4 linked regions of the Struthio camelus genome follow. The protein of the gene in region 2 binds, or shares a complex with, the protein of the main gene of each other region. Links are inferred from orthologs where the notes say so. Each region holds a gene or a part of one and is shown on either strand. Other genes may lie near its edges. The genes, in order: TAF3, TAF6, TAF13 and TAF11.

The links.
Region 1: TAF6 (region 2) and TAF3 share a complex: the UniProt entries of both Homo sapiens proteins name them as parts of the TFIID basal transcription factor complex. The link is inferred for Struthio camelus from reciprocal best matches to the Homo sapiens genes TAF6 and TAF3.
Region 3: TAF6 (region 2) and TAF13 share a complex: the UniProt entries of both Homo sapiens proteins name them as parts of the TFIID basal transcription factor complex. The link is inferred for Struthio camelus from reciprocal best matches to the Homo sapiens genes TAF6 and TAF13.
Region 4: TAF6 (region 2) and TAF11 share a complex: the UniProt entries of both Homo sapiens proteins name them as parts of the TFIID basal transcription factor complex. The link is inferred for Struthio camelus from reciprocal best matches to the Homo sapiens genes TAF6 and TAF11.

What each region holds. Positions count from the first base shown.
Region 1 is NC_090942.1:5,343,380-5,351,175, reverse strand, and holds the start of TAF3 (transcription initiation factor TFIID subunit 3), read right to left. Parts: upstream 3,013-7,796; 5' UTR 2,896-3,012; coding exon 2,730-2,895; intron 1-2,729. UniProt on the Homo sapiens protein: The TFIID basal transcription factor complex plays a major role in the initiation of RNA polymerase II (Pol II)-dependent transcription.
Region 2 is NC_090978.1:546,390-554,208, reverse strand, and holds the start of TAF6 (transcription initiation factor TFIID subunit 6), read left to right. Parts: upstream 1-4,809; 5' UTR 4,810-5,133; intron 5,134-6,135; 5' UTR 6,136-6,186; coding exon 6,187-6,342; intron 6,343-6,571; coding exon 6,572-6,658; intron 6,659-7,139; coding exon 7,140-7,293; intron 7,294-7,413; coding exon 7,414-7,470; intron 7,471-7,738; coding exon 7,739-7,819. Other genes in the region: MBLAC1 (metallo-beta-lactamase domain-containing protein 1), read right to left, coding at 2,162-2,518, 2,997-3,069, 3,606-3,692. UniProt on the Homo sapiens protein: The TFIID basal transcription factor complex plays a major role in the initiation of RNA polymerase II (Pol II)-dependent transcription.
Region 3 is NC_090942.1:96,845,896-96,853,253, forward strand, and holds the start of TAF13 (transcription initiation factor TFIID subunit 13), read right to left. Parts: upstream 3,011-7,358; 5' UTR 2,882-3,010; coding exon 2,855-2,881; intron 2,610-2,854; coding exon 2,531-2,609; intron 1,982-2,530; coding exon 1,884-1,981; intron 847-1,883; coding exon 676-846; 3' UTR 1-675. Other genes in the region: GTPBP8 (GTP-binding protein 8), read right to left, coding at 6,553-6,637, 7,130-7,302. UniProt on the Homo sapiens protein: The TFIID basal transcription factor complex plays a major role in the initiation of RNA polymerase II (Pol II)-dependent transcription.
Region 4 is NC_090965.1:5,430,701-5,438,143, forward strand, and holds the start of TAF11 (transcription initiation factor TFIID subunit 11), read left to right. Parts: upstream 1-4,438; 5' UTR 4,439-4,461; coding exon 4,462-4,662; intron 4,663-4,764; coding exon 4,765-4,904; intron 4,905-5,290; coding exon 5,291-5,378; intron 5,379-5,779; coding exon 5,780-5,876; intron 5,877-6,899; coding exon 6,900-7,030; 3' UTR 7,031-7,443. Other genes in the region: ANKS1A (ankyrin repeat and SAM domain-containing protein 1A), read right to left, coding at 1,812-2,005. UniProt on the Homo sapiens protein: The TFIID basal transcription factor complex plays a major role in the initiation of RNA polymerase II (Pol II)-dependent transcription.

The sequences.
Region 1 (7,796 bases), on a different chromosome or scaffold from region 2:
TTTTCCATTCACCGGGGGGGGGCAAAACTTCCCTTCTCCACTATCTCTAAGCACCCTCAAAGCAAGAGAGGGATATTTTATTTCTACCAGCTTTCAGTAAGCACTTCCAATTCCTTAAGCACTGAGAGGAAAAAAAAAAAAACTGTATTTCCACCGTCTATGCATCTTTTCCTCCTAGCCGTGGCAGAGGCAGCCAAGCTTGGGCTCAGATAAACAGGCAGTGACAGACTCAGACTAGATCTTGATTATTCCTGGATTCAACAAGCTGAGGCAGAGCCAGGTATCAGGTATGTTCAGATCATCACCATGCTTTACTGGGGCTCACTGCAGCAATGAAAACTTCTGCCTCAGAGAACAGACACGACAACAAGCAGCACTGCCAGGCCAAGGCTGCTCCTCTCTTGACTATGCTTATCACGCTGAGCGTTCCCTCCTGGCACACGGTCCTTCGTCCCACACACCCTCCAAATTCACTCCTGCCGAGGAAGCCAACACCTCCACCCTTCAAAGCTCCTCTGATCTCGAAGCTGCAGCTACCACCTGGAGCTGCAGTGTGTCCTCAGTATCCCCCTCATCCACATGAGCCCTGATTAGCACAGAGCCCACATCCACACAACTGGGGTGGAAGTGGTAGCAAAGTTCTCAGTTGTTCAGAGCTGCCATCCCTGTTACTTCTCCCACAAGCACTGGTGGTGGCTTGTCATAGCCACAAATCCTTTCCTAGGAAGTCACCCTCTCCATATCCAGCTCTTCAGGCAAGCACCACATCATCCACCCTAACCCCCAACCCTCTACTCTTCTAAATGTCTTCCATGCTGACATCCAACAGCATAGCAACTCTGACCTCTGTTTCGGGGCTATCCCGGACTTCTCTCTCTATAAATATATACATGCACGCAGAGCAGTGACAGCCCACAGCCCCGCAGCATGCTGAAGGAAGTGGTAACAAGAAACCTGCCCCCCTCAGTCTCTCCACATTCCCTTCAGCAACCCAAACTCAGAGCACGCTGCAGGCCAAGCAGATGCAGTCTCTAACACGGCCTCATCACACGGTTCCAGACCCCAGAGAGTCGTCCCCAGGCCCCAAGCACTTCAGAAGCAGACAAGAGCAGCACGGCAGTCCAATCTCCGTGCCCAAGTCTCCCCAAATTCCCTGCTCTCCTTGAGCAGGTGGTGGTCAAGCGACCCTCCTCCCTCCTGAGGCTTTCCTCCTTTCCTCTTTATGCAGGCAGCAGTTGGTTCCCCAAATCCCTCCAACCCTCCACATACACTGCCTGCTTTGCAAGAGGAGTGTACTCCCGATCCCAATCCTGTTAGGGCTCCTTGAAATATCTTCCACACTGACGCAGTTGGCAACAGCACTCCTGATCCTAGGCTCCAGGACTCCCTGCTTCCCTGGTCCCGTTTAAGATCTCAAGAGGCGCAAGCAGCCCTGGTTCCCATGTGCACACACAGCCTATCTCCACTCCTACAGGGCACCCTCGCTCCCCCAGCCTCTCCACTATGCACCGCACTCCATCTCCCCTGCAGTATTTATGGAGTGTTACAACAGTCCAAATCCTGCTCAACAGCCGCCACAGCACCACCTCATCCACCACTCCACCAGCACTGATACCCACATCTCCGTTTCCCCTACCCCCTCCCCCTCTCAGATTCAGAAGGGGCACAGAAATTTGCTTTGTCCAACCCCCAGGCGCACGTCTCCAACGTACCTCATACCACGCGCACTAAAAAGATCTCCAGCTCTGTCCGTTTTCTTTCCCACCTACAAACCCCCATACCTCAGACACTTCAGCCCCATCACTCGCCCTGTGCACATCCCACGGTGTGGGCATTACAGCTCCATCCCCCACCAAGACACACAAGCACACCCCCGACCTCACACACCGCACTCCCCCACTCCCCCCATACACACCATCACTTCCCACTGCACACCCCTCCCCCACAGCTTAATATATGGGGCCCCGTGGTCCTTTAATATGGGCTCCACGCCGCGCACGGCAGCTCCAACCCTTCACTGCTTACGCTCCCCGCCAGCGCGCTCACTGCGGCCCCACCACGGGGTTAACACCCCCCAACCCCCTGGCCCTTCACACAGCCCAAACCTGGCGTAAATGGCAGCCCCAGGCCCCAAAGTGGCCGTGGGGACTGCAGCCCCCCGACTTCCCCCAGTGCGCACCTGCTGACGCTGAGATGGCCTGGGACAGCAGCCTCCCACCCGGGACCGGTCCCCTGTGTCCCCTCTCCGCACACCCACCCCAGCACACTACAGCCCCAGCAACGGGACCAACAGGCCCGTCCTCTCCTCCTGTACACCCCCCCAACACACACCCTGCACACTACAGCCAAAGAAGTGGGGCAGCAGCCCCATCTCCCCCCCCATCCCCACCCCAGACCCGCTCCCAACTGCCCCGCTTCCCCCTATGTGCACATACAGCACCCCACTCCTAGTGCCTCACCCCCGCTGTTTCCCCCTTGCCCCACAGCGGACACTCACTGCCCTCTCACGCCTGCACCCCAGACCCGCTGCCCCGTGACTTCACCGCACCCCACACCCCCGGCCCACCGCTCCCGTGGGGGCGCCACCTCGGACCCACGGCTCCCTTCCCGCTCCTCTCGGCCCCCGCCACTGCCCCACAGCCCCCCACGCTCCTTCTCCGTGCCCTCTCCTCTCCGCCCCCGACCCCCGGCCCCCTCAGCCCAGCCCAGCCCGCCGCCCCGGCACTCACAGAGCTCGCAGTAGCGGTGGCAGCCCCGGCCCAGCCCCTGCAGGTACCGCTGCAGCACGTCGGTGAGGAGGTCGCAGGCCGAGACCTGCACCGAATCCCAACCCAAGGCCTGGCAAATCTGCGCCACCGATACCCGCAGCAACCAACGCGAGTAGGTCTCGCACATGCCGGCCGGCTGGGCGCCGCCAGGGCCGAGGCGAAGCTCACGCACAACCCGCCGCCGCCGCCGCCACAGCCGCCGCCGCCGCCATCTTGGCGTCGCGCCTCCCCGCCGCCAGGCCGCGCGGCTGCAGCGCCGAGCGCATCGAGCGCCCTCGACCGCTCGGCCATCCTCCCTCCCCTCCTTGCTCTGAGGAGGTGGTGAGAGCGGGGGGAGGAGGCGGTTGGGGCCTCAGCGCCGTGTGGCCGGAGCGCGTCGTCCCAAAACCACCTCAAAAATCGCGTAGAAAGCGGGAAATTCTGGTCCGCCCAGCCGAGGCGAAGCCTTTTCGGATGGGTTTGGGCTGCGCGGAGGAGGAGGAGGGCGGTCGCGGCCGTGTCAGCCAGCGCGGCGGGCCCTAAAGCTGCGCGCCGCTTGTCGGTTGTAAAAGACGTTTGTCGCCTCACGCCGCCTCGGGCTGAGGGGACCCGCCGGCAGCGGGTGCTTGCTGCAGGGGCCTTGCCGCCGAAGCTGACCGTCTGGAATGACACCTTCCCTTCTGCTTTTTTTATAGGTGATTTTAAAGGAATGGGGGAGAACCCCCCGACCACCGGGGCGCAGGAAGGGAGCCTCGTCGAGATGCTTTAAACCGAAACGGACTTGAGCGCCCCGAAGGCCTGTAGGGAGGCTTGACAAGACTGGGGTGGGGGGAAGCGGGAGATGATCCAAAAGAGCCACGTTAAGGCCGGTGATGTGTAATGAAGCAGCCAAGGGAGAGCAGGATGCTGTGTGAGCCCCCGCAAAAAGTGTGCGGGGGGGAAAAAGCACGTAACCTCGCTCTGGCGTGGGGGTTGTTGCCCTTAAGATAAGCAAGTGCTTGAATTTATTTGGAACTAGGTGGAGGAACCAGAACTTGTCTCAGAAATGTGTGCAAAATGAACAATATGTACCGAGAAGGATCCCAGGACTCAGAAGAGGAATTTCTGGGATCTTTTGGGGAGTAAAACCTTGCCAAGGCCACCTGTACGTAGGCAGCCACGGAAGCCATGTGTAAGGCCAAGGTTGCCTGGGTAACTCTATTAGAAATAAACACCAAATTTGGGTGTGGATAGAGCAAAGCTGGGACCCACAGGGATGAAGGATTTACAAGCAGGTTGTTTCTTCAGGAAGAGGCTGGGCAGGGAAGGGATGGTACAATACTGGCAAAAAGGAGGGTCCAGAAATGAAAAAAAGACAGTTAAGGTATAAAAATCCGTCTAATAACGGTCTAAATGAAGAAGTTTAAATGGGTATGGAAAAGGGTGATAGTATTGCACCCCCATGGGGGTGCAGGAGGTAGTATAAAGGGCAACAGAACTGTTAAAACTGTTGTGTGTAATTAATAGCACTTAATAATAAATTGTAACTCAATAATTGTGTGTAACTAATGACAGTATGAAAGACAACTGTAAATACTAGTTCTGTTAATTAGTTCACTAATTAGTTCACTGAAAGGTGAATGATCTTTGCTTGCTCTCTTCAGTCTGTCAAGCCGCTTTGGGGAGTTCCTGAACAGGCAGCACGTTTGCCATCTTAGAAACGTATTTTCTGAGTGTTCAGAAAAGCTGCAAATACACAGACCTCCTTTTGTAAACTTCAGAAGTATTCTTAGGGGAATTACCATGGACTGATGCTACCAAATATTCGCAGTAACATGACTTGTGTTTCCTGGGCTCTTCCTGGAACATGGGCTGACTGCAATGAAAGGAAAAGCACAGGATTTATTAGGCACGGTGGTTCCTGATTCATGAGCTGCCCCACTTGAGCAGTTCAGACCGCTCCATATAGCATATCACACTAACTGGATGAGCTCAACGGTGACAAAAGATTGCTTGTACTGTAACAAGCTGAGAAAAAGAGCCTATCTCCATGGTTCCTGCTGTTTAGTTTGAAGGACCTGGGCTTCCAAGTTCAATTCCCCAAACCATTACCGAGTTGCACGGCTCCTAGCAGCAATTGTTCTGTAATGAAATCCATAAAAACCTCTGCAATGGAACATGACACTGGAAACATCATTCAGTCCAGAGAAGTAACCAAAAAAAAATGTGTATATGAATGCTAAGATGATCACGTCTGAGTGACAGAAAGTTGAGAGCAAGTAAGAATGCTATAAAAGCCTCCAGGGGAACCAAGCATTCACTGCAGGGATTTGAAAGTTCTTCCCTGCGTGGACATACTACTCCTTAGGTACCTAAGAAAGTATTTAATGCACCATGCCAGAATAGAAATTTTGACATTGGGCTGCTGTTTCATCTTTTCACTGTGATTCCAAAATCCAGAGATCTTAGCACCAAAGTATCTGAATTCCTCTAAAATCACATGCCCACTTTCTCCAATAAAAAGGAGAAACAGCTTAATCCTTGCTCTACACACATATTAACCTTTACCTATTAAGTATTTCACAGCAAGGAATGGATTCAGAGAGCAGTTAGGATTCCGGGAAGATGCTCGGCTAAAGCACAAGGCAAAGCGTGGTATCCAGGGACAAGGCCAAGTCTTGCTGCAGAGCGGCCCGAGCAGAAACCCAGCCTCCTAGGCAAGGGGAACTCACAAAAGGAGACGGCAGGCTGTGAGTATGTCTCAGGGCCCCAGCTGGGAACCTTGACCTCGCTCAGACTAAGCACCCAGGCTGAGTCTTGAAAGAGGGAGAAGGGAAGACAGGTTTGAGGGTTATGGAAAGTATTTCCTTGCGTAGCTGACGGGAATTAAAGGATGTGACGTATGGGGGAGGAGGAGTGGAACAATCAGATGGGCTGGGAAAGGCAAAGGGGCTGTTTTACTTCTTCAGGGTGCCCGATGGACCCAGCTGACTGGGCAGAACTGCTGCGTCAGCCGCTGTGCACCAAGCGGCAGTCTCCACCTTGTTTCAAACCAGAACAGCCCCCGTAATGCTCAGCTTTACACAAGCATGTCATCCCTTCCTCCCTTACTTAAAGGGAACAGCTGGGATGCAAGAAACTGATAGTCACCTATCGGATTCACTGTATCAGTAGCACACTGCATTCTTCACTGCGAGCAGACTGGGCAGAAGGCAGGCATGGGTTCTTGCACAGAAACAGGAGGGCATGCAAGGTAGTGACAGCAGGCTGGGTAGCCACAGAAACGCCATCTGGACAAAAATCTGGGGCAATACAATGCTGCTGGAAAGCCTTGGCCTTACACAGATACACACCTTGATGATGTTGTGCATATGCCATCAGGTCACACACATGGTAGGAACTGCATTCCCCTCCACTCCCTGGAAATCACTTAGAGAGGTGATGGCTTTCCAGTCAGGAATGTAATTTCATATAACAGAGAACGGAAACATTTACCAGGGAAAAGTAGAATGTAAATCATCCGGATTACCGCAAAGGTTCACAGTGTCAAAGCAGTTTTTTCCCCACAGCTTAGATAGATTATTCCTAAAGAATTACAGGATCAAGGCCTTAAGCTGAGAATTGCATAAATCAAGGAACTCCTCCATTAGGATAACGGCCACCTCTGTATCCAGTGGCTAGTTTGTGTTTCCACATTTTAGAGCTTCCCAAATTCACCCATTCCAAGCAGTCACCAACTTCGGTTGTGTGACTAACCCTAGCATTAGAACCTTAGTTCCTTAAAAGTTAATAGTTCTTAAAAGTAGTCATTAAAAGATTCTTCAAAGTATGTAACAAATCCTCTCCAAGGATTCAACCTCACATAAAGACAGCACATTGAAAGCTGTAGGATAGCAACAGTACATCACTTTATGAAGTTAACACGGTGCCTTTGAGAAAGCATATTAGCTCAAGTTCAGCACTTGATTATATGCTTTCTAGACTAGCTGACTTATGTCCATCTCAACCCAACAGCAGCTCGAGCAAGCAAGTGGTTGTTCACGCTTGTCCCTCAGGTCATACTCGGAAGGTTGCTTTGATATTCAACACAATTTACACTTTCTTCATCTCTCTTCTACAAACCCCCTGCCCACTTCCTCTCCTGTACACAACTGAGTCCTTCAAGGCTCTTGTTTTGTCTGCCAAACTGGGAATGGCATATTTTTGCTCTTATGGTTATACTACACTACTACTGACCATTTCTTCTACTTCAGCATGTCCGGTTTTTCCTTTCATGCATTTCTGTCATGTATAGTGGGGTCTGAGAACTGTGGCAAGGGTTACTCTATTTTACAGCATGCCAGTATATAAACTGACAAACAAGATAGATAGTAATCAGTCTAAATAAAGACTAATGATTCCCATAATCATGTTAGTTAATTTTAGAGTATGAACATCTAGAAACAATCGTACTGTGATCAGAGGCAGAAAGACCAGTGTTCTAACTGCCTGATTCAAAACAGTTATTTAGCCATTTCCCTCTTCAGCACATAATATATATATAACAAACACCTTGAAAATACAAGGTGTTAATATTCTTGAGCTATGCACTCTTTCCCACCTGCAAAAGAAAATGCCCACCTACATGCTTTGTATATCACATAGGTTACAGCCTCTTAAAAATCAGCTGTTTCAAAGAGTAACCAAGTCAAATCCAGATACTTAGACAACCAAGAGCACTTGTTTCGTGTAGGCGGTTTATTGTAAGAATTTACAGATATTTCTAGGACTTTACCACTTCTTCACAAAATGACGGAGTAGTCTTATTAACATAGACACAGGCAGGTTAAACCATATGCTCAGAAGAGCTCTTCTTTACCTGTAAGAAACATTGAAGCGTATTAGAAACCTTCAACGTATCTTTTTGCACTTTGTCTCCTCCAATGGGAATACTTCATCAATTCATTCATCTTCCCTGCCACCCCAAGGCCTCTTTCAAAGCTATTTTCCCACAAAGTTTTAAAATTTGAATCTGCTTATTTTCCTACAGATTTTTTTTCAGGAAGAGTCTCCTAGGTGTAGACATTTCAT
Region 2 (7,819 bases):
GGTGGGTGGGACATGATGGGGGACAGAAGCAGCGACATGGGGGGGCAAGATGGGATGGGGGACATGGAGGACATGGCAGGGACATGGGGGACAGGATGGCATGGGGGACAAGGCAGGGACAGGGGGGACAGGGCAGGGACATGAGGGACAAGATGGGATGGGGGACAGGACAAGGGGACAAAGGGGGGCAGGACGCGATGGGGGACAGGGCAGGAACATGGGGGACAAGGGGGACAGGACATGATGGGGGACAGGGCAGGGACACAGGGGACAAGATGGGATGGGGGACAAGGCAGGGGGACAAGGGGGGATAGGATGAGGGACAGGGCAGGGACACGGGGGACAAGATGGGATGGGGGACAAGGCAGGGGGACAAGGCGGGACAGGATGAGGGACAGGGCAGGGACACGGGGGACAAGATGGGATGGGGGAGAAGGGGGACAGGGCAGGGGGACAAGGGGGAACAGGACATGAGGGGGGACACAGCAGGGACATGGCAGAGAGGACCACCGATGAGGGGACAGGGCAGGGGACCCCGGCGTGCCTGGCTGTCCCCACCGCCAGGGCGGACGAGGTGACGGTGCCCAGCTCTGGGGCTGTCCCTGCAGGGGACGTGCCCCCCCTCCCCCGACGTCCCTGTCCCCATGCCCACCTCGGCGCCCTCCGGGGACGCGGCCGGCCGAGCGCTGGGCCCCCATGCCCACCTCGGCACCCTCCGGGGACGCGGCCGGCCGAGCGCTGGGAGGACACCGGGAGCACTGGGAGGGTGCTGGGCAGGGGCTGCCACGGGGCCGGACCCGGACACCTGGGCTCCCTCCCCGCGATAACCCTTGTTATTACCAGAAGCTCAAGGCCACCGGGACGGACCCAGGCGTCCGGGCCCCCGCGTCACATGGGCCGTTATCGCCCGGCTCGTTAAGGCCCTCGTTAGGGCTCTGCCGGTGCCAGGCCCTGCCCTGCCCTCCCTGAGCCCCCCCCAAGGAGATACCAGCACCAGGGTCTGCTCAGAAGCTTTATTTTGTGGCTGGGGACGTCCCCAAGGGTCTCCTAGGCCTTGGGGACATCCCTAAGGGTCTCCCATCCCGTGGAGATGTCCCCAAGGGTCTCTTAGGCCTTGGGGACATCCCTGGGGCTCTTCCATCCTGTGGGGACATCCCCAAGAGTCTCCCATCCCAAGGAGATGGCCTCAAGGATCTCCTAGGCCTTGGGGACATCCCTAAGGGTCTCCCATCCCATGGAGATGTCCCCAAGGGCCTCTTAGGCCTTGGGGACATCCCTGGGTCTCTCCCATCCCATGGGGACATCCCCAAGGGTCTCCTAGGCCTTGGGGACACCTCTGACTCTGTCCCCTCTTTAAGAGATGTCTCTAGGTTTCTCCTTTTTCCCCAAGGACACCCCTGAGTCTCTCTTGTCCCTCCCTTGGGGACATCTTTGGGGGGGGGTCATGTCTCCCTTGAAACCTGATCTCTGATCCCCCATCTCTGATCTCTCTCCCATCTCTCAGGGACATGCCTGGGTCCCTCCATGACATCCCTGGGTCTCTCCCAACCCTTGGGGACATCCCTAGGTCCCTCCGCAATGTCCCCAGGTCTCTCCCAACCCTCAGGGACATCCTTGGGTCTGTTCCCCACCCTTTCCTTGGGGACATCTCCAGGAATCTTGTCTCCCCTGGTGGTGTCCCCAAGCCTCCCCCATCCCTCAGGGCTGTCCCCAGCCCTGTCCCTTCCCTAGGGGCCGTCCTCAGGTCCCTCGTCCCCCAACGTCCCCCCACCCCGGGCCGCGGGGGCATCCCCGGGTTCCCACTCCCTGAGGACGCGGAACGGGGGCCCGTGACCCGGCACGATGACGTCGGCCACGGCCAGCACCCGCCGACGGCTGGCCTCCTGCCGCGCCGGGTCCTCGCTCAGCTCCCGCCAGACGCCCTCGTCGCCCTCGCGCTCGAAGAGGTCGCCGGCCACCACCACGGTGCCCAGGGCCGTGCCGTGCACGGCCACGCTGACGTGGGCGCCCGTGTGGCCCGGCGTGGGCAGCACCTCGAGGTGCCCGGCATCCAGGGCGTAGGGTTGGCCCCGGGCCAAACCGTGGGGCAGGTAGAAGCCGGCGCCACGGCTCAGGTCGAAGCCCACCAGCAAAGTGGCGTCGGGGAAGAGGTTGACGTTACCGACGTGGTCGGAGTGGCCGTGGGTGCAGAGGACGTGGGTGACGTCGGCCGGCGACAGTCCCTGAGCCGCCAGCAAGGCCGGGAGCCGCTCGCGGTTCCACGGTCCCCCCGTGTCCACCAGGGCCGTCAGGGGTCCCCGCACTAGGGTGATGGAGCCGTCGGCCAGCAACGAACCGTCGGGACGCGCCTGGCTGTAGCCCTCCTGCAGCACCCGCACGGAGTAAGGGGTCCCCGGCACCTCGTGGGTCCCCAGCGATGCCGTCCGTACCCCTGGCAGCATGGCCGCCCCGGTTTGGGGTGGGGGGGAGGACGGACGGTGCGGTGTGGAGGTCGCGGAGGTCACCGAGTCAGGGCGCCCTGAAGAGAGAGTGGGGAAGGGTGCAGGACCTGCCAGCTTCCCCCCGCCACTGGGTGAGTGGTCTCTCCCAGTGCCTCCCCATTATCCCCAATGGTCTCCCCCAGTCCCTCCCCATTATCCCCAATGGTCTCCCCCAATCCCTCCCCATTATCCCCAATGGTCTCTCCCAATGCCATTATCCCCAATGGTCTCCCCCAGTCCCTCCCCACTATCCCCAATGGTCTCCCCCATTCTCCCCCCTACTATTCCCAATGGTCTCCCCCAATACTCCCATTATCCCCAGTGGTCTCCCCCCGTCCCTACCCGCTATCCCCAATGGTCTCTCCCCATATCCCCCCATTATCCCCCATGGTCTCTCCCAGGCCCCCCTCTCCCTTGTCCCCAGTGGTCTCCCCCATTTCTTCCGCTGTCCTCCCCTCCATGTTCCCCCCCCCCGTTACCCCTCCGTGGTCCCGTCCGCAAGGCGCGCCCCCTCACCCAAACAGCTCCGCGCGCCACTGCCCCGGAAGGGGCGGGGCTCCCGCCGGAAGGTGGCAGTGTGCGCCGCCATCTTTAGAGAGAGAAGTCCCGGGCGCCGCCATTTTGGGGAGGCGGACGGGAGGCGACGAGGGACAATAAGCACAAGAAGGTGTTTCCGCCCCCCAAGGCGTTTCCTGCCCCAAGGCTCCTACCCGCTCCCCGTCGTGGCGGCCGCGGGGCTCAGAGCTCCCCGGAGTGGTCGTGGGCCGGGGGGTGGGGCGCTTCGTCCTCACCACCCCCCCGGACCCCCTCTGCCGCCCCCTATCATCCCCAGAGACACCCCCCCCCCCAGCCACTGCCCAGGATCCCCTGGACCCCAAGAGCCCCCTCCAAGATCCTTTGGGACCTTCTCACCACCCTCCAGCACCTCCTGGGATGCCCCCTGCCACCCCTCAGGATCCCCTGGACCCCACCCCCCAGGACCCCAAGAGCCCCCTCCAAGATCCTTTGGGACCTTCTCACCACCCTCTAGCGCCTCCTGGGGTCCCCAGGGCTCCATCTCCATGTCCTGGGACTCCCTTAGGACCCCGGTGGCACCACAAGGATCCCCCCCCCCCATGGTCTCACCTGCTGCTTCAGCTGTGTCACCTCGGCTGAGGACTTGTCCCACAGCTCCACGGGGACCCCCAGGTCCACCTTCACCCCCTTGTTCATCAGGGACTTCAGGGTGCTACTTGCACGCTGCCGGAGGTCCCCGCGGTCCCATATGGCTCACAGCCCCATATGGTCCAGTCTTCTATAGCCCCAAGCCCTGTATGGACCCATCACCATAATCTTGAATGGCCCAGGCCTGCCCCAAGTCCCATATAGATCAGTTCATGTAGTCCTATATGAACTCCGCCCCCATAGCCCTATATGGGCTGGTCTCTATAGCCCCACAGACCCATGTGGAGCAGTCCCTATATCCCCATAGGGACCAATGCCCCCCCATAGCCCCTCCGGACCAGCTGCTAAAGCCTCAGTGGCTCAACCTTCATGGCCCCTATGGCCCGGGGTCCCCATAGCCCTGTATAGCCCATTCACTGTGGCTCTAAACAGTCTGTTCCTATAGTCTAATACAGACCTGTGTCCCCGTAGTCCTATATAGCTCAGTCTCTATAGCCCCCTATGGACTGGGGCTCTATAATGACATACAAACCACTCTCTATAGAGCTATATGGACCAGGATCCCCTATAGCCCTGTATGGCCTGGTCCCTACAGCCCCATACAGAATAGGGTCCCCATAGTCCCATATGGCCCTTTCCCTACAGCCCCATATGGACCAGGCACCCCGAACAGTCCTACCTAGCCCAGGGTCCCTGTGAGCCCTATACAGACTGGTGCCTATAGCCCCATATGGACCAGGGAACCCACAGCCCCATACAGCCCAGGACCCCATTGTCCCATATGCCCCTATCCCCCATACAGACCAGGGACCCTGCAGCCCCATATAGAATGGCCCCTATAACTCCATATGGCCCAGGGAACTCATAGTCCCAAATAGACTGGTCCCTATAGCCCCATATATGGCCCAGGGAACCCAAAGCCCTATGCAGCTTAGGGCCCCTATAGCCCCATACAGCCCAGGGACCCCGCAGCCCCATATAGACCGGTCTCTATAGCCCCACCCGGACCACGAAACCCACAGCCCTATACAGCCCAGGGCCCCTATAGCCCCATACGGCCCAGGCGCCCGGGTCGCTGGCGCCGCGCACGCGCACTGGGAGCGGGGCGGGCAGCACGCATGCGCCCCGCCCTGGAGGCGGTGCCGGCTCCACCGGGACGCGCAGGCGCGTTGCCCGACCCGCCCGCCGCCTCGCAGGTCCTGGCAGGGAGGTAGTGAGCGCGGAGCGAGGGGGAAAGGAAGGGGTGGGAAGGCTCCCGGATCCGCGGCCGGGGTCAGACTCGCCTTAAGCTCCGTTAAACGCCAGGCGGTTTGGGCTTCTTCAGCCTCGCCGCCGACGTAAAAGCGGGCGAAAAGCCCTTCGAGGATCCCGCCCCGCAGCCCCTTCCCCAACACAGCGTGCAGCGGCCAGGACCTGGCGGTGAACGGCGGCAAGAGGCGGAGCCAAGATGGCGGCGGCGGCGGCCGGCACCGGGAAGGCGGCGTGAGAGGTGGGGGAGGGGGCCGGCTCCGGGAAGGGGGCGGGGTCGCGCTGCCCTCCCCCTCCCGGTATATTTTTTGGGGCGGGGGGGGGCTTGTGTGCGCATGCGTGTGTTCCCCCCCCCCCCGGGGTCCCCTTTGCATCAGGGTCCCCCGTCTGCCCCGGTGCCCGCGTATTTGGGGTCCCCCCCGGGCGGGATGCCCGTGGCGGGGGGGTTCCGCCGGCTCTGCTGCCCCGGTCTCTGGCTCTGGGGCTGCGCCCTGGGGTCCCCCCCCCCCCGTGTTTGGGGGTCTCCCCAGCCCAGGGGTTCCCCCTGTGTTTGGGGTCCCCCCCCCGCCTTAGGGTTCCCCCCGTGTTTGGGGTCCCCCTGCCCTTCACCCTGCGGTTCCCCCCGTGTTTGAGGGTGTTTAGGGGTCCCCCTGCACCCTGGGGTTCCCACTGTGTTTTGGATCCCCCCCGCCCTGGGGTTCCCCCCATATTTGAGGGTCCCCCCCACCCTGAGATTCCCCTTGTATTTTGGGTCCCCCCCCACCGTGGGGTTCCCCCCCCCGTATTTGGGGGTGTTTGGGGGTCCCCCCCCTGCCCTGGGGTTCCCCCCGTGGTTGGGGTCCCCCCCCCCCGTGGCATCCCTGTGTCGGGGACCCTCCCACTTGCTGCTGTGTCCTAACGTCTCCATATTGGGCTCTCGTTGCCCCCCAAAACGACCCCGTGCTCTCGATTTCTATACGATGCTCCTATATCCAAATCCCCCCTGTTTAAGTCCCCCCACCCACGATCTCTTTACATCCTATATATTTAGGATGCCCCCGCAGCACCTTTATATTGGGGTGCCGTTGTCTCCCCCCACGATGTCCCTATTTCGGGGTCTCCCGCGTTTCCGCTTCGCCCTAAATGTTTCCTTCCCGGGGTCCGGTGTAGGGACCCCCCTTTTTGGGGTCCCTACACCACGATCTCCGGTGCAGCTTGTAGGACCCCCTCCTTGCCCTGCTGACCCTGCCGCCCCCCTCTGCAGCCCCCCACGACCACCACCAGCACCCCCCAGAGGAGGAGGAGGAGGAGGAGGATGGCGGAGGAGAAGAAGCTCAAGCTGAGCCACACGCTGCTGCCGGCCGAGTCCATGAAGGTGATGGCCGAGGCCATGGGCATCGGGCAGGTGCCCGAGGAGACCTGCCAGCTCCTGGCCGACGAAGCCAGCTACCGCCTCAAGGAGATCGCCCAGGTAGGGGGGGACACGGTGGGGGGGGACACAGAGGGGACAGGGACAAGGACAGAGCCTGGGGTGGGGAGGTCTCTCAGCCCCAGGCTTCGGGGAAGGGAGGGAAGGTGACAGCACGTGTCTCACCCACTCCGTCCCAGCGTCACTCAGCCCCTTCCCTGGTGGTGTCCCCTGTCCTGGGGGGGCCGTGGGAGGCTCCTCGCTTTGCTGACCCCCCTCCCCGGCCCCCCAGGATGCCCTCAAGTTCATGCACATGGGGAAGAGGCGTAAGCTGACGACGGGGGACGTCGACTTCGCCCTCAAGCTCAAGAACGTGGAGGTACCGCAGGGACCTGTATCTGGGGGGGGGGCCTCTGGGACTTGGCAGAGGTCTGGGATGCTCTGGGGGGGCTCTGGGAACCACAGGGGGGGCTCTGGGGATGCTCTGGGGGGATCAGGGATGCTCCTGGTGGGGCTCTGGGACGTGGCAGGGGTCTGGGATGCTCTGGGGGGGCTCTGGGATCCACACGGAGAGTCTGGGGATGCTCTGGGGGGATCAGGGATGTTCTTGGTGGGGTTCTGAGATGTGACAGGGGTCTGGGATTCTCTGAGGGGGCTCTGAGATCCACAGGGGGGGTTCTGGGGATGCTTGCGGGGGTCGTAGATGCTCCTGGTGGGGCTCTGGGATATGACAGGGGTCTGGGATGCTCTGGGGGGGCTCTGAGATCCACACGGGGACTTTTGGGATGCTTGGGGGGGGGGGTCAGGGATGCCCTGGGGGAGCTGCCAGCCCTCCTCTAAGCCCGCCGTTGCCCCCGCAGCCGCTCTACGGCTTCCACGCGCAGGAGTTCATCCCCTTCCGCTACGCCAGCGGCGGCGGCCGCGAGCTCTACTTCTACGAGGAGAAGGAGGTCGACCTGAGCGACATCATCAACACGCCGCTGCCCCGCGTGCCCCTAGACGTCTGCCTCAAGGGTGGGCCTAGGGGAGGTGGCCTGGAGGCATCGTAAGGGGGTGACGGCGGGTTTCGGGGTGGAGAAGAGCTGTTCCTTGCTGTTTGTCACCGCTTTTTGTCTCTCTCTTTTTTTTTCTCAGCTCACTGGCTCAGCATCGAGGGGGTGCAACCCGCCATCCCCGAAAACCCTCCTCCAGGTGAGTGAGGGACCCAGGTGTCCCCAGAGCAGCCCCTCCTTCTCCTTGGACTCCCCATGGGAGATCTGTCCTCCTCATGGGGAAGATCTGCCACTAGCTCCTCTCGATCTGTTCTCCAAAAAAGAAAATTTGCCCCCGATCCCTGGTAGTTTTGCCTTCCCTGGGATAGATCTGCCCCCCGTCGAGGCGGATCTGCCCCCCTACCAGCACAAATCTGCCCCAGTCAGGGGGTAGATCTGCCCCCAGTCCTCCCATGCTCTGTCCCCAGCCCCCAAGGAGCAGCAGAAAGCCGAGGCCACGGAGCCGCTCAAATCCACCAAGCCGGGGCAGGAAGACGACGGGGCCCTGA
Region 3 (7,358 bases), on a different chromosome or scaffold from region 2:
AAGGGCAAGTAAATTTGGGATAGGTGATCCCCATTTCCTAGGGAGAAATGAGAACAAGAGAGCTGTGTCCACTGAGGCAGAAGGAAAAAATGAGCTTCCTACCAGACTAAGAATACTTAATCGTTAGTGCTAAGAAATCCACATTATGCAACTTGTGTGAATTCGTCAGTGAATTTTAGTTACGAGGCCTGGCATGAGCTTAAGATGTTTTACTCAAAGAGCATATAGGGAGCAGGGACAGGGAAGAGAACAGAAATTCTAATGGTTTGTGCTCGAAGGCACAGTTTGTCCAGTTCTCCGAGATCCATTTTCTAGGTCTCCTGCGAAGGGAGCATCTAATAATGACTGAAACAGTTGGAAAGAATCAGTTCTCATTAACCCTCTAGATACCTGATAGAACACAGTCCTACTTCAAACACACTTGTCACCATTACAAGAACCTTTAGAGCTCACTTTCACACTTCTTGAGTTTTATAAAATGGTATAAAAATACCTAAGTATACCACATACAGTCAGATAAAATTAGAAGGCTTCGATACTTCTTTGTAAAGGCCGAGAGCCAAGGCAGACATCCCAGCACTGATCTCCATCCTGGAAAAAAAACCTCCAACAAATACATACTAATTCCTTGCTTTTGGGAAGAAGGTGCCCAAGCTGTGCCGCGTGCACAGAAGATCAAGATCCATAGTTTGCCTCATCAAAGGCCTTTCTGGCCCGCTTCAGTTCTTCATTCATAGTCAGGAGGTCCTTAACTCTGGCAAACTTCCGGGGGTCCTTGCGGATTAGAAAGACAATGTCCTCAACCTGTACACGACCCTGCCGCCCAATTGACATGGCCTTGTGCGTCTGTCAGAGGAAGAAGCAAAAGTTACCAGTGTGCCTTTGACCCTGACTTATTTTTTTCAACTCTCAATTCCATTTTATTCCTTGTCACTTTATAAGCCAAAGGTAAGCAATTTCAGGATCTGGGCACCATCATCCTACTCACAGACACACTCCCGAGTGCACTCCTGTGAACTTTTTGTCAGTCTACTATTCCCAGCTCCTTGACACCTACACCTGGTATGTGCCGTTATACATACAGGATCTTAATGACATCAAAACTAAAGCCATGCTACACATAGGGGAGACCAAACCTGCAGAGCGCTTGAGAAAGAACAGCATCAAGGCGAATTTGCATGCAAAAGACAACACCAAATCTGAGGACAGTTTAGGCATTTTCATAAGTGAAGGCAAGGCCAACCTTTCAAGAGAAACAGGATTTTCAAACAGCAGGAAAGACTTGAGTAAAAAAACAAAAAACAAAAAACCCTCAAACAGCATCCAAACAGCAGGATCAGTGATTGCTTAAGGCAGCAGAACCTTGTATTCGTTTTGTGGGACAGAATTGCTTTCCCATCCTTGTAAAAAAACTGAGCAAACACAAAAGTAGATCAACTTTCAAAGTTGACCCTCATCTTCTGTCAGCTGTATACGCAGTGATGCCACAGTGGGCTACAAAGTCAGCTGTGCCTGTAAAATATCAGTCTAACTGCCCCTTACAGATGAAGGCCCTGTTCCAAATCCACATGGAGCAAAATGCATTAGTTTCCACTGAATCTTCGAAGCGCAAAGGCTAACGTGGGATTCTTCCTACTAGCATCAGAGTTGTTGGCCTGGGCTAATCCAGTTGGGTTAGAAGTATTAGCCTACAGAAAATTAAAATCTTAATGAGGATCTTCGAATCTGATTTAACACCTTTAGAAAACAAATTCATCCCTTTTCGTTGAGATATGTTCTGCTAGGAACATCCTATCCTCTGTCCAATCGTGGTGTAATAATCGGTGCATCTGAAATACTAGCAAGAGCTGTTTTTTTGATCGTGACATCTAAATTTGACTTACCATTTCTGTGATGAACTCTATTACCAGATCCTCGAGAATATCCACTGATTCTGTGTAAGGGTTCTGGTCATCCCCAAATCCATACATCATGCATCTTACTGCAGAAAGAAATACTCAGCATGATCCTCCTCTTATTTTTTTTCTGGTCATTCAGCACAGCCAGCAGCATGCCTCTAGTGCTTTAGGCTTACTAGTCTACAAGTTCATGCAGCAGGACGGCATTCCTGACTGCTGGCCAGGACAATTCTTTGGGGAGCTTATGGGAAATAAAACAGACAGAACCCAGCAAGAGCGTAGCACATACGCAGACAAATGCATCTGATGACAGGCTCTTTAAAATGCATTTAGGCTATCAACTACGGGGCATTGCATCGCTGTATGGCTTTTGCCGTTGATAGGCTCAGATGACGCATTAGCAGCAACGTTCTGTCGTATATGACGGCTTTCTCCGCTTTGAGCACGGGTAGGGAATGAAAGCCGTTGTTTTGTTAATGAAGACAACGAGTTTCAAAACTCTACAGCTCCCTAAGACTTGCCGACATCTCTGCAAGAGGTATGCCGTTCGTAAAAGCCACGGCTGGCGCTGCAGCGAGCGACCGGTGCCAGCCGCCGCCGGGCGCAGGCTAGCGGCTCTGGCTTGCACTCACGTTCTTTGGAGAAGAGCCTCTTCCTCCTGCCTTGCCCCCCGTCCAGGCCTCCGCCCGCCTCCTCGGCGTCTTCCTCAAACTGCGGAAAGGCACATTGGGGGGGGGGGGGGGGGGAGAGGGCGCAGTCAGAGCGGGGCCGGGCCGCAGCGCCGCCGGCGGGGGCGCAGGCCAGCCCGGCAGCACCGGGCCGCAGCAGCCATGTCACCGGCTCTGCGGGAGCCCCGGGCGGCGCCCGCACTGAGCAGAGGCGGCCGAAGGCCCCGCACAAAAGCCGGGCACGCCGCCGCCGCTGGCCCGCCCGCGGCCCCGGCGCCCGCGGCTCACCGGCGCGTCCTCCTCCTCGTCGGCCATGGCTGCCGCGCGCCGCTTCCGCTCGGGCCGGCCGAGCTTCCGCCGCCCGGGCCGCGCCTGGGGGCCGCCATCTTGGCGTACGGCGCGGGCGCCGCCCCGAACGGAGCCCGGGGAGGGTCACGCGCCGCAAGGGGGCACTGAAAGGCGGCGGCGCCTCGCTGCTCGTACGCCTGACGGCGCGGGCAGACGCTTGGCGGTGTCAGGCAGCGGCCCCAGTAGGTCCTCCGGCTGGCGATTACCGTGTCCGCAAGCCGCCGGCTTTCTCCGGCTTCGGGGCGTCCCCCGTGGGGGGCCTCTGAAGGGCCGGGCGGGCAGAGCAGCGCAGCCGGGCCCCCTGCAGCGTCGCAGCCGCGACTTGCCGGGCTCCCGCCAGGTTCCCGCGTGCACGTCTGCACGGGGAGCTGCTGCGCTCTGAACGCTCCCCGGACTCCTGCCAGTGTCCGCAACGGTCAGCGGAGGGGCAAGGACTCCGGGGGCTCGTAGGCATAACTTGCATTGCCCTTTATAAAGTAAGACCGAGGAGCTAAAGCGGCAGGAGTAGCAGGCTGACCGTAGTGAGCAGATGTGTCTCAGCGCGGGAGTTAAGACGTGTACCCCTCTTTCCGTTGATGTCTATGCAGGACTGGAAGTTGGCGCTCTGAAGGAGGAAGCTACCCGAATGCAACACGCTGAGCGTAATCAGTATTACACAGCTGCAAACATAAGATAAACCATGAGAAAAATTAACTCTGGGCAAGCTCTATCAGCAAGCTCACCAAGGAGCTAGAGCTGGAGCAAAAGTAGTATATGATGAGGAGCTGAAGTATGCTAAAAGCAAAGAGCTGGAGAGTGAAACTGCTGGCGGCTTTCAAGAGAAGCAATCAGATGGTCTCACCGCTCTTGACAGCGAGGATACAAACCCAAAAGGAAAACATGCATGTCACGAGCCCTAGAACGAGGGAAGCACAGGAATGGATGTTCAGTCTTTTCAGTTAAGTCTCTCCTTTTCACAACTCTCAAGACTTCATAGATCGAAGCACAATTGGCCGAGTATCACAAAACAGCTCTGCAACCGAAGCTAATTCCCACAAGCGTGGCAGTTACCCACAGCCACAACTTTTAAGTTAAATTTAACCCAGAGGATGGAGTTGACTCTCTCATCAGAAGCAGGCCTCAAATCAGCGTGGCGTGTTCTGGCAACTCCTGTGTGCACCGCTCAAGGCCTGCTGTAATTGAGCGTTTCGTGAAGAACGCAGCAGCGGCATCTAGAAGTCCTGGCTGTGGCAGTCCTTCCTTGTCCAGGTGCCAAGCACAGCTCAGCATGACCTCCCCTCAGCCAGAGAACAAGCAGAACGTGAACCCTATGTCCTCTTTCACTGTCTTTGTAGTAATCCTTGACTTCTGTAGACATCTAAACAAACAATGCTTTTTTTCTTTTTTAATAAGATAGGTCTTATGCTGTTAGCCCAAACTAGGCTAACGATGTCAGAGAAAGGAGAGACAAAGGGGCCAGAGATAAGTTGCTGAACTGATTTTAATGAAATCCCATTTCTTGAAGATGAATACAAAGGTAGTAGAGAACAGAACTGCTCTAAAACCATTGAAAGAAGTTTGGAAGATGGATGAACTTCTCCCACAGAAGCTTTAGGTAGTTTTATTGTTGTTGTTGTTGTTTTTAATTACTGTGTTTGTGGTAGGAAGGGGGCCTCTTGAAAGACTGAGTTGAAATCCTGCACTACCTCATCGTACAACCTCCTGTATGACTGTAGAAGTGGGCCCAACAGTCCAAGGCCCCACAGTGAAGGAGCTGCTGAGCCTGTTCGAGACGCCATGAACAACCTTGAGGTCATGAACTTCTGTTTAACACAGCACACACATTGTTGCTTAGTATCTATCACATAGGATAGCCACTTCTTGTTAAAAGATTTTTTTTTTTAAACGTACTGCTATCCTCCCAGTTCAGATGCACTCTTCCTGCAATCTAATCTCATTAACAAAGCAGTTACAGTTTGAGAAAGGATACTGGCTGGCAGTTTGCAGCACAGGCTCTTCAATTAGAGCTGAGGCCTTTAGAATTACAGACTAGATTGATGCTTTTGAAAGATGCTGGTTTTATTTTTTTTAAACAAAAGATTATGCCTGAAACGTTGACCTGCACCTATTCCATCTATCCTTATACTGCTGCACTTCCCCCCGTGGAAGCATCACATGGGCTGGTTTGCTCTGGAGCACTTTAGGATTGGAGGTGAAATATTGAGAATTACAGGTGTGATCTCTGCTTAGGTGTGCAAACCAGAGATCCACCTCTTTCTATTGCATTCATCACACACTGCCGCTTCCTACACATATGGGGAAATAAGCCCTATCTCACGTCTAATCTGTGAGTTAAAAGAAATTCCATAATAAAGCAAAACACTAGAAATACCACCTTCTAACTCTCGAGTGGTTTATGGAAGAATTACTCTTTCATGAGGTTTAAACACTTGATGTAAGTAACGCTGACAACCGTATACATACCTTTGGCAATCCTAATACTCAACAAGACAGTGTCAGAGTTTGACATCAGCACTTAATAGCTTTGATCTAAATTTTCGTGTATGATTACTGCTATTAAGACAGTCCCCTTTTCTGACTCTTTCTGATATTGTAACTACCCAGCTTCGGTCTCCCCAGGATGGGTGCTGGGTGCTGTTAGCTGGATACAGCTGTTGTGGGACAAAGTTTTGCCAGCTGTTACAGTGCTTGCAAAGAATACGGGGCCTCACTATTGTGCTTCAGCTCCCAGTGTAGAACAGATGCATAAAACAAACAACATGTCTCATCTCTGGCAGTTCAGAGTACAGCTGCAGAACTTCATGCTGGAAGGTAAATGCAGCACTGACCGATGATAAAGTGCAGGAGGAGACAGCTCCCCTAGGTGTCATTCATTTATCTCACTCTGTTCCAAGCCAACAGTAATCGAAAGGTAGATCCCATTAAAGATGTGTCCTTTCGTTCATCCACCTAGAACAGGGACAACTTGGTGTATACAAGTAAGGCACGCTATCACACTGCACCTGTTGAATGCATGAGGCAGAGGAGTTACACAATGCAGCTTCCCAGCCAGATCTCTCCTAAAAACACCTTCACAAATTAAGTGCTGGCCATTTCTACTCCAGACAGTCTTACAGCAGGTAGTGAAATAAGTTGAGACTGGTGAACTTCTCAATGTCATTCAATTCAAGTTGGCAAGCGTGGCTTGTTTAATATTAAGAGCTATAACTTTTCTTTTCTAAACTAAATGCCTTTTTATTAATCAGATTACTAGACTGTCTCTAATATCCTAAATACAGCAGAATTTAGGCATGCAGTAGTAGCTTTCTGAACAGTTAGCTGGAGAGAGAGAGAGGAAATGCTGTATTAAAACCTAGCTCCTCTGTAGAGTAGGTTCTCTTTGTTTTTCCCTTCTTGGCACAATCACATAGGTTTTATAAAACCATTTGATAATAAAGTGCATTCCATTGCAGCGCAAATTTCCTGAATGAGTTTATTAAACAAAAAGCTTATCCTTACAAATATTAATTTAACCAAAACCTTAGACAAATTTATCCAAAATATAAGTTCCAGTATTTCAGGTTATTAAAAAAAAAAAAAAAAGCCAGATTTGGTACCTTTTGTTCTGGATGTGCCAAGCAGATCAGGAACCAGTCTTTTTAGTTGGTCTCTGCAACAGGCAGGTTTCCAGTAACATGGGCTATGAAACACCTTAGCAAGTGAACACCTGAAAACTCCAGAGAACTATGGAAACAAAGGTGTGTACATTCAGTGCCTGATCACTGCTGCATCTTGGACTAATATAACCAAACTCAGCCACTGGGTACATTACATTACATCCCCCATAGTGCAGTACAACTTTGATAAAGCAAAAACTTCAGCTACGTAAGCAAACACTTAAGGGTTGCTACTGTCACATAACTCCAAACTACGCTACTGTACGAAACGACCACAAGCACGTAAGCAGGTGCCTGACAAAGCCCGCTGTCACACAGCATAGGTACGGCTGCCCCTCTCAGCCCAAAGGCCAAAGGAAGAAGCAGCCTTGAAAACTGAACTCCACTCACTTGCAGAGGATGTGGAAGAAGGAAAGGGCAGTTACCACAAGCAGCCCACCCTCCATCCTTGGGGCACAGAAAAGTATCGCCTCTGGGACAGATGGACCCATTTCAGGTAGTATGTCCTATTGCTGATCATCACGAGGAAGGAAACGGCAGCAACGGAGAAAAGCTTTACCTGACCAAGAATAGCTGAGGAAAGCATCCCTGAGTTTTCTCCTTTACAAACTCCTGGATCTCCAGTACGTTCTTTAACAACAGTCCCCTGGAAGCTCGGTCGATTTTTGTTAGCACCAGCTGCGTGGGTTCAAACAGGAAGGATTGAGAGAAAAAGATGATTTTGCTGCTAGCCTGGAACATTTGTAAGAATGATTCACCTTACAAAGCGGGCTGAAAGTTCTGGATCT
Region 4 (7,443 bases), on a different chromosome or scaffold from region 2:
CTTGGCCAAACACAGCACCTTTTCCCTGGTTCGCCAGTCCCCAGCTACCCGCCGTTACCAATGGCGTACGTAACCCTGTAGCGGTTTAAGCCCTGGGGACACATCACCGGGCAGCTCCCCACGCCGGGAGCACGCGCTCCAGACAGCCGCGTCTCCCGGCTCTCCCAGCCTCCCGCCGCCGCCGCCAGCCCCCATGGATCCCGTAACACCCAGGCGGCACCAACGCCGCAGGGTCTCCCCCCGGCCCAGCCCGTGCTTCCCGTACCCCCGTCACGGCCCCCTCCCTAACGCCTCATCCCACCCCCGGCCCCACTGCCGCCGTCTCCTCGCCCAGCTCACGCTGGCTCAGGCTCCAGACCTCATCCCCCAGCCCCACGGGCACCCCCAAACCCGCAACCCCTGCAGCCTCCCCCCAGCCCCTGCCAACAGGCCCCACAGCCCCACGCTGCCTGCCTCTCCCACCTCTGCCCCCCAGCCCCATACGCCTCACCTCCCGCCCTACGGTCCTAAAACCCCCCAGCCGCACACACCCCCTCTCCTGCCCCACAGACCCCCACCCTCCTGCCCCACAGCCACCTCCGCCCCACAAACCCCAATCCCTACCGCCTACCCCAGGCCCCCGGACTCCACAACCCTATTTGCCCTCAACGCCGTGACATCCCACCTCCTGCCCCACAGCCCAACATACCCCCTTCCCCACAGCCCTGCAGCTCCACGCACCCCGCGCCTCCCGGCTTCCCAGCCCCACACATCTGCTGCCTCCCACCCCCCAGCCCCATGCACCCCACACCTCGCAGCCCTCCAGCCCCACACATCCACTGCCTCCCACACCCCACGGCTCCCAGCCCCACACCTCTGCTGCCTCCCACCCCATGGCCCCCCAGCCCCACGCATCCGCTGCCTCCCGTCCAATGGCCCCGCAGCCCCACGCATCCGCTGCCTCCCACCCCCCAGCCCCACACATCCCATGCCTCCCAGCCCCATGAATCCACTGCCTCCCGCCCCACGACCTCCCAGCCCCACACACCCCGCTCCTCCTGGCCCCCCAGCCCCATGCATCCACTGCCTCCCACCCCACGGCCCCCCAGCCCCACGCGCCCCTCACCTCCCAGCCCCACTCATCTACTGCCTCCCACCCCGCAGCCCCCCAGCCCCACGCACCCCACACCTCCCAGCCCCACGCACCCCACACCTCCCAGCCCCACGCACCCCACACCTCCCGGCTCCCCAGCCCCACGCATCTGCTGCCTCCCACCCCACAGCCCCCCAGCCCCACACACCCCACACCTCCCAGCCCCACGCATCCGCTGCCCCCCACCCCACGCACCCTACACCTCCTGGCTCCCCAGCCCCACGCATCTGCTGCCTCCCACCCTGCACCTCCCACCCCCCAGCCCCATGCATCTGCTGCCTCCCACCCAATAGCCCCCCAGCCCCACGCACCCTGCACCTCCCAGCCCCACGCATCCACTGCCCCCCACCCCACGGCCCCCCAGCCCCACGCACCCTGCACCTCCCAGCCCCACGCATCCACTGCCCCCCACCCCACGCCCCCCCAGCCCCACGCATCCACTGCCCCCCACCCCACGGCCCCCCAGCCCCACGCATCCACTGCCCCCCGCCCCACGGCCCCCCAGCCCCACGGCCCCCCAGCCCCACGGCCCCCCAGCCCCACGGCCCCCCAGCCCCACGGCCCCCCAGCCCCACGGCCCCCCAGCCCCACGGCCCCCCAGCCCCACGGCCCCCCAGCCCCACGCCCGCCCCAGGGCCTACAGCGTCTGGGCTCCCCGCCCCCCGCGGGCCGCGCTCACCTGAGGAGACTGGACAGCGGGTGCCCCACACCGCCGCTCCCGCCGCCACCGCCGCCGCCGCCTCCCCCGGAGCCGCCGCCGGAGCCGCCGCCGGAGCCGAAACCGGAGCTGAGCCGCTTGCCCGAGAGCAGCTTCTCCACGGCGGGCAGGTTCCCGGTGCGGGCGGCCTCCAGCAGCTCCTGCTCCTTCCCCATGGCCCGGCCCCGGCCGCCCGCCGCCGCCGCCGCGCCCCGCCCCCTGCGCGTCCTTCCGGGGCGGGGCCTGACGGAGGGCGGGGCCTGGCATGGCGGGGCCTCTCGGCCCGCAGCCACGCCCACGGCGGGGGGAGGCGTGGCCTGAAGAAGCTCCGCCCTACAGGGGCGGGACGCCCCCCCGGCGGGATGGCAGGGCACCGCCCCCTCGCCCCCCTCCGGGGCAGGGGGGCCCTGAAACCGCTGTGCGTAAGGTCCCGGGGGCCCTGAAACTCCCACGCGTGCGGGCTAGGGGGGCGGGTCCGAAACTCCCACGCGTGCGGGCTGGGGGGCCCGACCCGCCCCACCCCGGTGCATGAGGGCCGGATGTGCCTGCGGTGTTAGTGGCTGTGCAACGCCCAAAAGGCGATTTACACCTGGCCTCGTTAGTTCCATAAATCCCTTAAATGACTTCCAACTATTTTTTTTAAGGGTATTTTAAATTAATTTTGCTTTGGCTCATTTTATTCGTTAAAGCTAAGGAGTCTGCTACAACCGCGAAAGGGAGGGACGTGAATAACGCAAAGGTAGGGTTACAGCACGCGCTACGCAAAGAAAGGGACCGCCTTTGGTCTAGCCCCAGCGCTTTCTGCATTTCCAGGGTTCCCGTCGCTAGAGCAGTTGGGCATAATATGTACAAGAATTAATTCCTAGAACAGTTTAAATAAGGCACGTCTCTGCCAGGGCTCTCGTTCTGCGCGTCTATTGGCGAAAGAGACACGAAAAAGGAATATTCGCAGGCTATTTCTCAGCCGTTGCCCATAGCAAAGGCTTCTGGGGAGGAACGGTGCTGGTGCTCTGCTCTGGCTGACGATCGCTCTTCAAGGGGAAGCAAAACAGCCAGAAACAGTTGTCCGCGATGGCAGCCTACGAGCTGGCACGCAAAATGATTCAAATGCGGCCAGGTGCTCCATTTGAACAGCACGTTAACAGCATCAGTCCTCTCAGAGAGCCAGCCTCGGTCGCTGCCCCTCCAAGCGGAACTGAAGTGGATTTGCCACAGTTTTGCTCAGGCAGTTTTCAGGTCTCTGGCTGGGGGATATCCCTTACCCAGCGCAGCCTGCGCTCGAGAGACGGGAGATGAACGTCGTTCACCTTGACCTCACCTTGAGGGAAATACATAGGAGGACACTTACAGGAGATCACAGCCTTGGTGCCCGCCAGAAACATCCCCTGCGTCGAGGTGCCACGCGCTCGTGCGGGACTCCACGTGCTCCAGCGCGCGTGGCAGCGGCCATACCCTGCCTCGCCAGAGCCCGCAGGGGAAGCTGATGCGTGAGAGGGCCGCTGGAAATTACACATATTTAGCTCCTTTCACCAGAGGCGCTCAGAGTATTTTGCAAGCTGGAATTAATCCTGTAGCCCTGTGAAGCTGGTCAACGTTATCACTACTTTTCCATACAACAAACAAAGAAACAAAGAAGCAGCGTCAGAATTCCCAGGCTTGAGGAGGGGCTGGGGGGGCCGGGAACGCGGGAGTCCCGGCTTCCCCGCGTCTCGCCCCAACCTTGCTGCTCCCTGCTGTGTCATGTGGTACCCTGTTAGACGGAAACAATGCAGAAAATCATTGACTGGCTTAGCCTTTCCAAATTGATTCATGCTTCCAAGAAACAAAATCAGCAGGAGATCCTTGCCAATGCCTCAGAGAGAGCTGTTTTGTTGGTGACTTTGATCTGGGTTTGCAGAGCCACAGACTAAAGCGTGCACCCAGACCCTGGGCTGTTTCCACAGCTCCAGACCCCAGACTCTGTCCCTACCGTAACACTTTTCCTTCTTAATATTTAACTTTTTTCCTATTTCCGTGCAAGAACGCCACGCTGAGAACGCGCTTCTGCAACGACTCCAGCAACTCATCAGTGTAACAACCGTCCCCTTGCTCCAAGAGCAGGAAGGGACACGGCTGCCCCTGTCAGCACGTCCTGCCCCCCGGCCGGAGCCAAGCTCCAGGCCCTGCAGTTCGGCTCCCTACTGGCCTGGCCTCTGCCCCCCGCTGCGTCACCCCCCGCGGCGCCCCAATACGCCGGGGCTGACCCCTGCCTCTCCCACCCCAGGAACCCGGTTCCCCCCAGCCCTTCCCGCCCTGGTACCCCAGTACTGCCCCAGCCCTTCCCACCCCCCTCTCCCAGTACCCCCCAGCCCAGCCCATCCCGCCCCAGTACCCCCCAGTACCCCAAGGCCCTCCCTCCCACAACCCCCACACCGCCCCCGGCCCTCCCCACCCGCTCTCCCAGTACCTCCCAGTCCCCCCCGCCCCGGCCCCATCACTCACCCCCGGGCAGGCCTCGTTGCCATGGCGACAGGCCCCGCCCCGCCGCCGGCAAGGCGCGGCCCTTCGCGGCAACCGTAGCGGTGGCGTCATCAGGAGGCGTCGCCGCCGCCGCCGCCGCCGCCGCCGCCGCCGCCGCCGCCGTCGGGGAGCGATGGCGGAGCCCGACTCGCCGGGCCGTGAGGAGCTTGGAGCCTCCGCCCCGGAGCCGCCGCCGGCCGCTGCCTCCTCGTCTCCCCCGGGCCCCGGAGCGGCGGCTGCAGAGGAGCCGGCAGCCGCGGAGGCAGCGGCTGAGGGCGAGGCGGGAGAGGCCGGCGGGGGCGGCGAGTCCGCGGTAGAGGCGCAGGCGGGGGAGGTGAGGCCGGGCCGGAGCGAGGAGGGGGCGCGGGGGGGTCGGGCCGGACCGGGTCGGGCCGGGTCGTGGCGCCGCCGAGCCGAGCAGTGCGCTCTCGCCCAGGTGAGGAGCGCCGAGGGGGAGGCGGTGGACGGGGAGGACCCGAGCCTGCAGCCGTCCGCGGCCAAGAAGGTGAAGCTGGAGCTGAAGGAGAGGAAGGAGAAGAAGCACAAAGTGGACGAGGACGAGATCCAGAAGATGCAGTAAGTGGCGGTGCGCCGGGCCGGGCTGCTCCCTGGAGGAGGCTGGTGCTCCCTAGGGCACAAGTTGCTGTATGGAGTTTGTCTCTAGACACGCTGACTGCGTAGTGAACCTCTAGCTGTTTTATGAGACTGTTGCTGATGATTTCCCTAGTTCTTTCCCAGGTCTCTCCCCTCCTGAATGGGCCTAGCCATTTTGCATATAAATTTTAGTACAGCTGGAACAGTCTTTCCCTTCCTGGCCCTCTTCTGTACTGTGAGAGGTTTGGGGTGGTAGGAAGGTTCTGCGAGACTTTCAGTAACCCAGTAGCCAGAGATGTGCTAAACTTTTTTCTTTTTTCTTTTTTCTTTTTTTTTCCCCTGTAAACAATCAATTTTTTCCACCCCAGAATACTAGTCTCTTCCTTTTCTGAAGAACAGTTGAATCGTTATGAGATGTATCGTCGGTCTGCTTTCCCCAAAGCTGCTATTAAACGGGTATGGTTTTAATAACGCTTTGCTATAGGGGAAAAAATATGAGCAAAGTGGGCTGGGTTAAAAGGCTGAGCCTTACCAAGCCTGGCTATAGAACTGCAGATTTAAGACTTGCATAGGGTAAGAACTGGATCCGCTGTATGCGCAGGCTGTGGATGCACCTTCTCTTCCAGCTGCTTGTCTCAGCCTTCGTGGCCGAGACCGTTGTCCTCAGATCAGCTTATCTGACCCTGTTCGAGCTTACTGAATTTGCATGGCTTATGCAGTTTAAATGGGGGTCTCTGCCAACCCATTGTAATTGAAAGTGGTTAGGGTGCGTGGGGCAACAGATAGAAGTAATGGCTAGTACTTTCGCTGTTGCTGCGTACTTCATTCAACTGACTGTCTCTTCCCTGCTTGTCAAGCTAATCCAGTCAATTACTGGCACCTCTGTCTCTCAGAACGTGGTTATTGCCATGTCCGGCATTTCCAAGGTCTTCGTTGGGGAGGTGGTGGAAGAAGGTAAGTGGAATATGTTATCGTGGGGCAAAAAGGTTAAAAATACAATGGTAAATTCATTGCTTAAAACCAAGCAGAAGGATATGAAACGAGACTGGGAATTCTATTGGTTCCTCAAAGGAAAATAACGTCAACATTCTTGCCACACAAATCGGCGTGTGAGCAGGCTGCAGTAGGGCAGTCAAGATCTTTGCTAATGCTGCTGTGGACAACAAATGCAGCCCAGGGAAATAAGTTATTTAGGCCTCTCATCTGTAAGACTCAGGCTTTAAACAATGAGCCGAGATCTCTTTGGGATATCCTGTAGAAGGCTGACCCAGCCAAGTACCTGGGTTTTTTTTTTTTCCCTTATTCACGCTCCAGGAGGAGACAGTACTGTTTGTTCATGCCATCTGCTCAGTACAGACTTGTCATGCAAAACATGTGGCCTATACATGCAGGGATTACCTTATCCAGGATGATGCAGTTTGGCTGTTTCCCTGCTGCAGCTCTGTGTGTTACCTGAGGCAGTTTGGATAAGCAGCTTCACTGCTGTACTTAATTGCTTCATGTCCTTGGCAGGAGATGTAAACAATGCTTATTCTAGCTGATGGAGAAGGAATTGGCCTGTAAGTCCATTGTAAATTGTACCTTCCTATTGCTCCTACACATAATGACCCCAAAACCTAATCCCAATCTAGAGGGGTTTTTAAAGTGGAAGGCTTAAGATCATAAGGCATTATTGCCAAGTTCTTGCATGACTTAAACTAGCGTATTCCATAGCTGAAGCTGTTTGAGAAGTGGTTTATTCTTGTCCAGTGCTGATGCCTCTAGGACTAACTTTTCTTTTAGTCAAAGAGAAACACATAAGGCAGTTTCACTCTCATGCATTAATAAAATGAGCTTTAAACTCTGAACAAGAGAAAAGTTACCTTTTGCCTTTGAAATTTAAAGCTCAAAACAGTAGGAGGCTTTTCAGGTATCATCTGTTAAGAGACTGGCTCAGCTCAGCTGTCCTGCTTATGTGAACTCTTGTTTTTTGTTTAGCACTGGATGTATGTGAGAAGTGGGGAGAGCTGCCACCTCTACAGCCCAAACACATGCGAGAGGCAGTCAGGAGGCTCAAGTCACGGGGACAGATCCCCAATTCCAAATATAAGAAAATCATCTTCCACTGAAGTATCTCAACAGCATCATGACAAGACAGGAGTTAAAGCAAGCTTCCAGTTGGGTACTGCGTAACCTCAAGAGTCGTAGCAGAACTACGAGGCTTAAGCGCTCCAAGCTTCTGTTGTTGCCTGCCCGTATCGTTCTCCGAGGACCTACAGGAAAACAAACCTTGATGCTGAAGTTGCACTCAGTCCAGCTTGATTTTTATGTGGCTTGTTTTCAGTTTACAAAATGTAGCCGTTAATACTCTTGGCATGGCTGATGGGGTAGGAGGACTGAGGAAAAAGCCCTGCAGATGAAGCTCAGAGTACCTCTGTATGGGGTAATGCAGTTACCCCATTGAGCATATTTTGGTATTAGAGCCTCCCCTTCAAGGAGCCTGTAAACGTTTTATTGTGCGTAGACTTTCGTTTAGGCAACT